2 linked regions of the Arabidopsis thaliana genome follow. The main gene of each other region encodes a partner of the protein of the gene in region 2 in a complex. Each region holds a gene or a part of one and is shown on either strand. Other genes may lie near its edges.

The links. Proteins that work in one complex are often made in the same cells at the same time.
Region 1: rps18 (region 2) and PSRP3/1 share a complex: the UniProt entries of both Arabidopsis thaliana proteins name them as parts of the 30S ribosomal subunit.

What each region holds. Positions count from the first base shown.
Region 1 is NC_003070.9:25,756,167-25,760,241, forward strand, and holds PSRP3/1 (Ribosomal protein PSRP-3/Ycf65), read right to left. Parts: upstream 2,246-4,075; 5' UTR 2,004-2,245; coding exon 1,779-2,003; intron 1,703-1,778; coding exon 1,427-1,702; 3' UTR 1,261-1,426; downstream 1-1,260. Other genes in the region: AT1G68585 (uncharacterized protein), read left to right, coding at 745-858, 938-1,019, 1,106-1,260; AT1G68600 (aluminum activated malate transporter family protein), read left to right, coding at 3,781-4,075. UniProt on the Arabidopsis thaliana protein: Component of the chloroplast ribosome (chloro-ribosome), a dedicated translation machinery responsible for the synthesis of chloroplast genome-encoded proteins, including proteins of the transcription and translation machinery and components of the photosynthetic apparatus.
Region 2 is NC_000932.1:65,511-69,595, forward strand, and holds rps18 (ribosomal protein S18), read left to right. Parts: upstream 1-2,406; coding exon 2,407-2,712; downstream 2,713-4,085. Other genes in the region: petL (cytochrome b6/f complex subunit VI), read left to right, coding at 202-297; petG (cytochrome b6/f complex subunit V), read left to right, coding at 488-601; psaJ (photosystem I subunit IX), read left to right, coding at 1,419-1,553; rpl33 (ribosomal protein L33), read left to right, coding at 1,978-2,178; rpl20 (ribosomal protein L20), read right to left, coding at 3,002-3,355.

The DNA of each region.
Region 1 (4,075 bases), on a different chromosome or scaffold from region 2:
CCATGTCCATGTGCCCATAGGGTTTTGTTTTGTGCAGCATTCCAAAGGGGACCAACAAATAAAATTGATGCTCTTTGGTTGTTAGTTGTAACTAGCTGGTAACAATTGATGTTTTCTGGAATCGTCCAACAAGTTTTGTTATCCATAGTAAGAGCGCTTGTTATAAACCACTAACAGTGATGAAAGTTGAGTGTCTTATCTTACACCATTTTAAACTTTTACCTATTATCATCTCTTGTTGTGCTATAGATGATTGGCTTACCAAAAGGTAGGGTAAGGTGAAAAAGGTAAGCTATTTAAATTCGTTTAAGACCAAGTCAGAATCCTCCAACTTGAATGATTTTGGTGGGGTTGCATTTTGGTGAGTGAAGCATCTTTTTCAAACAATGTAGAGGAAATAAAGAGGAGCCAAAAGAACTTGACTTTCTTACTCAGATTAATGGACACTAAGTCATGGATCCAAAGCATATATTATATCTCTATTGTGTGTTAACATGTCTCTTGAGTCTCTAAACTTAGTTTTCTCCAAAGATTAAAGCAAAAGCAAAGATGGGCTTCCTCTGTCACTAGTTTTGCTAACTCATCCTTTTCGGATAGCGACACTCTTCGTTTCCCACTCTTGGTTTGGTGGTTTCTTTAGGATTCTAGATTTTTGTTTTACTTATCTTTCCTTGTACAAGAGACTGTTTCTATAGGATTCTTCATTTCCTGTTTTATCTATCTTCTCTGTGCAACGAGAGTGTCATGGCTACTCTGTCTCAAATCGTCGAGGAGGAACTTGAACCATCACTAAGAAGCAAGCTTTCAAGAACAAGTGAAACCAGTCTCGCTTCTGTCGCATCGTTATCCATGCCACTTGTTCGTTACTCTCTTAACACTTTTGTCTTAGAATGATTCAACTCTGTGGATTCTTTTAATTGATCTTGTGTGTTATCAGATTCAGGAGATTGTTCTATCAGCAGACATCAGATGTAGTGACTGCCAAGAGAAAGTCGCCGACATAATGGCGAGGATGATCGGTGAGTATATAGCTTACTTACTTCCGAGATGAGACACTTTTTTGTTCTTTCCTCTCACGCTTGTTTCCTCTGTTTTCTTGGAGCAGAAACATATTCAATATTGGTGAGTGTGTTGGAGAAGAAAGTGACACTAACGTGTACATATTCCGGTGACCGGAGAGTCTCTAAATCCTATGGTGAAGCTCTTCTCTGCAAAATCTCAACCATCAAGCGTTTGATATGTCCTTCAAGGAAACAATAACTCAGAGTTGCTTGATGTTTGCTTTTATTATCATTTTCTCTTTCCAATAAAATGAATCTTTTATGTCGAATGTGATTGGATATTGTTTAGATAAACAAAAAACTCTCAATAGCAATAATAATCATAGACAAAGTGAATTCTTGAAATGCAGAAATCAAAAAAGAGATTATTGAGAAGTTAAATTGCCGCCACTTTGTTGCCAGAGATTGATGATATCAGTGGCTTGGTTTAGAAGAATGATCATCTTCTTCTGAGAGATCCATGGTTTAGCTTCAAGAGTAGACTTAAGCTCTTCCCAAGCATCTTTCCTAGGCCAGAAGAAGTAAGGACTAAGTGGGATTGTGCCATGTCCAGGTACATGTTGGTCCAATCCTAATCCTATGTTCTTCTCCATCCACACAAACTTGAGTACCACTCTTGATTTCTCATCTGGCTTCACCACCTAACACAAACAACAAAGATTTGTGGGTTTTGTAACACAAGAGACAAGAAGATGAAGAAGAATATGTTGTTTTTACCTTTATTGTTTGTTGTGGAGTGTTGTCGGAAGTATCAATTCCGGTGACTGTTTCAGCGGTGAGTGTCTCTGGAGCTGCTAGAGTTATGATTTTCCGTTTTACAGAGATGGGTTTGGTTGTTTGGGTATGGAACAATGGAGGAGAAGCAGTGATGGAGAGTTTTGGATGTTGAGAGATGAAAGAAGAGCAGAGGGAAGTAGAAGAGAGTGCCATTGATGACATCATTTTTGTGTTTTCTCAGAGAACAATGGAGATTTTGTGAGAATATGGATAAGGAAGATATGGTCACATTTTTGGGTGGAGTTTCAAAGTAGTTTGACTATCAAATTTATGGGCTTTGTTGACTTGGCCCATCATTAAATGGGTCAAGAATACAGAGTTTATTATAAGCCCATGAATACAAACCTGAAGCTTTGAGAAGTAGACTTTTAAAAATACAGACTCTGTTTCAAGTATTTTCGAGGGACTAATTCAAAGATCTCAACATATAAGTATTAATCATATCATATTTAATTCGAATGACATTTGACAGCCACAAGTATTTATACAAAAATTAAAAACCTCATCTTTGTTTAGTGTTCATGATTTGATCAAAGTCAATAAATTTTTTTGTGTGAAATAAATTTTTGTATTAATCAAAACACAATTTTTAACAAAATATAATTATCGATATTGTACGCTGCAAGATGTCCTCAATTTGTTTTATTTATTTATCAAAAACAAATAATTGTTGAGAAAGTGGCCTTTACATTATATATGTCACATGATTCTTTTTACATTATGTCACATGATTCATCTTAAAAAATCGTCTTCTTTATTTTCACAGGTTTGCTGAGGCCAAAGAAGAGTCTTTCTTTGGACTTGAAGTAGCACTGGATAGATGAGATGAGAAAGCCTTTAAGGAGAAAGACACCATGATGGTCATTCATGAACATCATTCGATGAGTATATATAGTAAAAGTTTGAAATACTTCTTACATCGTAGTTATTATATAATGTGCACACGATATTTTTTATTTTCAGCATACAATAATTGGATAAAACAATCAAACTCACCCAAAATACATAAATAATTGTTGTTTCTCAAAAAAAAGTAGGAAAAATCTCATGTGAGGGTGGGTACACTGTGTAGGGTAGGGCTTGGCTTTTGAGCATAGTTAGGAAGTAGTAAGATGCGATGCGGTAGTAAGTAGGAGTTTCAAAATGTCACATTCACACAAGTCACGACCATGAAACTTGTCGTCTCTTTGATACTTGCAACTTCTCCAAAACTGTGGGTCTGTAATTCAATTATTAGAGTCTTGAACTTGAAGAGACTTTAAGATATGTGTGTAAATTTGTTCACCGTCACATTATTGGTCCATTTACATTACACACGTCCACTATAGTTAATTCTCAGGTTGTTTATCCATAGATATCTGTTGTTATTTCTGCGACACTTTTACTGGTCACAATGAATTATGTTGATGTTTAGATTCAACAAAAAAACTTACTAAATCGGGTAACTATGAAAAAATATTATGTAGCTGAGCCAAAAAGGTAAAGTCTACAGTTTAAGAAACATTAACACATTGAACAGAAATTAAGAAATAATATAATTCTATTTTTAATTTTTTTACTGAATAACTAATAGTCACAAAAAATCATATTACGGCCTTACCGGTCCATTTATGCATTACTGGTCCACAAATGTAAATTCTCACGTTTTAAATTCCATCTGTTTCAAAAAATTTGGACACTTTTGGTGGTTAATATGTTAATGATTAGATTTCAACCAAAAACATCAAAGTTATAAATCGGACAATTATTAAAATTTGTAATGTAGATGCACCAAATTGTAAATTTTTTAAAAAAACTTGATTATTTAGAGATGATGAATCGAAGGCATGCATTAATTGCGTAGTACAAAACAAATCTTGATAAATAGATAAATAAACATCTTTCTATTCGTAAGGACGACAAGAATCTCTCAGGTTCTGTAGAATTGTCAGAATCATTTCTAATGGGAGGTAAAATGGGATCAGTACCGGAGCAAAACACAGAGAAGCTTCTCTGGCAGTCAAGCGACGTCGCTGATAGCCGTGACTCCAAGTTCCGGTGTTGCTCGTGGAGGGCTCTCTACGAGGCTCCGGCGAAGTTGTACGCGCTGGGACATTCTGATCGTAGGAAACTTTACTTCTCCATCAAGATGGGAATTGCTTTGGCACTCTGTTCTTTCGTCATCTTTCTCAAAGAGCCGCTTCAAGATGCTAGTAAATTCGCAGTTTGGGCGATTCTCACCGTCGTTCTCATTTTCG
Region 2 (4,085 bases):
ATGAATTGAGTTCTTTTTATCTTTCTCTATTTTTTTTCATACCACCTATAATGATTGATAATTCACAAATTTTCAATTGAATTTTTTTAATTCTTGGAACTAGTTATCTTTCTCTATTTCTTAAAAAAAATTTCAATTGAAACTTAGGGAAGTACTTTAAGAAACATATGTATAAAAAAACATATTTTATTGAGTCCCTTCATGCCTACTATAACTAGTTATTTCGGTTTTCTACTAGCAGCTTTAACTATAACCTCAGTTCTGTTTATTGGTCTAAGCAAAATACGACTTATTTGAAATTAATTGAATGCAGATTTTTTTATAAAAAAGGATTTCGTTGGTATTTATTAATATGTTCGATAGTTCCTTACCGTGTTAATTACCAAATTTTGGTCATTGAGATTCATTGGCAATACAGATTAAGAGCTAGGAATAGATAGTACCTCTCTTTTCTCCCTTTCAAAAATGAAAACAAAAGAAAATTCAAATGATTGAAGTTTTTTTATTTGGAATCGTCTTAGGTCTAATTCCTATTACTTTGGCTGGATTATTCGTAACTGCTTATTTACAATACAGACGTGGTGATCAGTTGGACTTTTAATTAATTAACATCTCGTTTTTTTACTAACCTCCTTCTTGCTTTCCTATGCGGGAGGTCTAATTCAGACTGCTGCTCAGTAATTTGTGAACAGTGGAATTTTGATACAATCTATGAAATCACGCTCTGTAGGATTTGAACCTACGACATTGGGTTTTGGAGACCCACGTTCTACCGAACTGAACTAAGAGCGTTTTTCTTTTTTTTTTTTTCTAAAAAACGAAAAGGCTAGAAAGAGGGCATTCTTTAACCCGACTCGATTTTGTACGTATATACTATATCATACATAGTATATCATAAATTTCAGAATTAAATGTATGTCCGATAAAAAAAATTGATCAAAATAGATACCTCGTTACTGCTCTTCTGAGCAGTAATAGGTAGGGATGACAGGATTTGAACCCGTGACATTTTGTACCCAAAACAAACGCGCTACCAAGCTGCGCTACATCCCTTTCAATAGGTTTACAGTGTCATTGTAGAGAATTCCTGTCTTGTTTTCCACATCCTCCTTCTTTTTTATTGGTATATCAAATTCATTTCTTCTTTTTTTCTCATATCAGATAACAAAGATATAATTAAAAAATTTACTTTTTTTTTTTTTTTTATTCTCTCAATTTTACATAAATAGGCCTTTACGTTTTCAAATGGAATCGATAAGATCGTTCTAGTCGACAATATTAAAATTCTAATTTTGAAAGCGGGGGGACGGAAGTTACATATACAAATACAAGAACTTCTTAATTACATGTACATCTGTAATTATATATATTACTATATATAATGTAATACAATAAAGAAGAAAGAAGGAGGATTTCTAATGCGAGATCTAAAAACATATCTTTCCGTAGCACCGGTACTAAGTACTCTATGGTTCGGTTCGTTAGCAGGTTTATTAATAGAGATTAATCGTTTATTTCCAGATGCATTAACATTTCCCTTTTTTTCATTCTAGTTATTAACATCAGAAAGGGGTGAAAAATTTAGAGATACAATCAACAATCGGGGACTAACCCCCCCACCTTTTCTAATTAGTAGAATAAATTAGAAAAGGTGGGGGGGGGGGGGAAAGGTCATAAAAACGAGGGTTCAGGATCCAATGAAATTAGTAATAGAACGAAAAAAAGTGTTGCTAGGGAACCTATCAGATACTTAAAAAAACTACTGTACAAAGATTTTAAATATAGTTTTCACAAAATCATAAATCATTGTATTACTTATTTTTTTTATTTAATTACTAATAAATAAAATATTAATTGTAACGAAATATTTCAGAATTTTTTTTAGTTAACAGCTTCTATTTTTTTTGTTCTTGTTCTTTCTGGATCCTAAAATTAAAATAGAAGATTGAGGTGAATCATAAATCCAAAGGAGGTTTCATGGCCAAGGGTAAAGATGTTCGAGTAACAATTATTTTGGAATGTACCAGTTGTGTTCGAAATGATATTAAGAAAGAAGCCGCGGGAATTTCCAGATATATTACTCAAAAGAATCGGCATAACACCCCTAGTCGATTGGAATTGAGAAAATTCTGTCCCTATTGTTATAAACATACAATTCACGGGGAAATCAAGAAATAGATCAAATTGAGTGCTTGTATGTCAACTTTTATTTTAAGAACAGGAATAATGCTAGTATCTATATATTATTACATATATATAAATATAAACAAATAAATCAATAGAAAGAAATCTAATCCGATATTCTTAATTCTATATAGAAATTCTATCCTATATAGAAATAGAAATCGTTTTTATTTTGATCCGATCAAAATAGGATTTTAGAGATAAGGAATAAAAATAAAAATTATGAATAAATCTAAGCGACTTTTTACTAAATCCAAGCGATCTTTTCGTAGGCGTTTGCCCCCGATCCAATCGGGGGATCGAATTGATTATAGAAACATGAGTTTAATTAGTCGATTTATTAGTGAACAAGGAAAAATATTATCTAGACGGGTGAATAGAGTGACTTTAAAACAACAACGATTAATCACTATTGCTATAAAACAAGCTCGTATTTTATCTTTGTTACCTTTTCTTAATAATCAGAAACAATTTGAAAGAAGTGAGTCGACTCCTAGAACTACTAGTCTTAGAACCAGAAAAAAATAGACTTATTTTTCAATTGAATAACAATTCCAATCTGAAGGAATTAAAAAAGAGATTAATGTTTTGTTCAAAAAATCCAATCAAGAATAAAAATTTGATTGTTACGTCTGTGTCTATTATAAAAAAAAAAAGAAAAGAATCGTCGAAAAGCATAACTCGTTTTTTCGAAACTATATACTCTCGTTTTGTTTTGACGACTTTTTTTTTAATACTAATTTCTACTCTACCTTCCCCGAGCTCATTCTCCTTAGAACTCTATTTCAAATATTTTCGTGGATTTCTTCCAATCCCCTTATTTTTTTATGTCATTCGAAATTGTATAAAGACAACTCCTATTTAATAGAGCTATTTGTGCAAGTATTTTCCGATTAAGAAGTAATTGCTTCTTGTATAGATTGTGTATGAATTCATTATAACTATAGAATACCCCCATTTCGTGAATTACGGCATTTATTCGAGTGATCCATAAACGGCGAAAATCTCTTTTTCTTTTACCCCTATCCCGATGAGCCGAAACTAAAGCTCTTATTCTCTGTTGAGTCATAGTTCGTGTAAGCCGTGAATGAGCCCCTCGAAAGCTTGATGCAAATAAACGAAGTTTTGTTCTACGCCTCCGAGCTATATATCCGCGTTTAATTCTAGTCATTGAATAAATCAAACTTTGATGAATAACTAATTCTTTTTTTAGTTATTCTTTTCCCCTTTACTAGTCTATTAATAACCAAACGAATTATTCCAATGTATAAAAAAAATTCCAATGGCTTTTGCTACTCTAACCTTCCCCACCACTATTTTTTGCTAGGTATTTTCCTTTACTTTGAAAGGCCTTGATATAAAAAAATAGAATAACTACAAAACGTAGTAAATAGAATTGGATAAATAGTGGGTTCCATCGTTTCTATGGTTACTTCTAAAACGGTGAGGTCCTCTCTATACACCGGAGCTCCTTCTTTTAATTAATCAATACTATTGGTAACTTGTACAATTCACATTCTTTGGCTCTACCCCATGAATATTCCAGTAATAGGTCTTTCACAATGAGATCCCCTTTATACAGTAACGGTATTTCATTTTGAAAATTGATTAGGTCATTTACCCTGTTAGTCCGTTCTTTTCTTTCAAGAGTGAAATCTTTTTTCTAAAAAATGGAATTTCCCCCGCTTAATGGATACTCATTTGTTATCATTGGGGGTTTTCTAAAAAATGGAGTTGATTGGATTTGCACCAATGTAAACCATAAGTTTCAGACACAATAGAGTATATGAACGATCTATATTTTGTAAATAATGAATCGAGTTCGTCCATTCTATTTTATTCATAGGTACTGATCCGTGATATTTCAAAAAGAATTTCCTTTTTATGTCTCAGTCTATGAT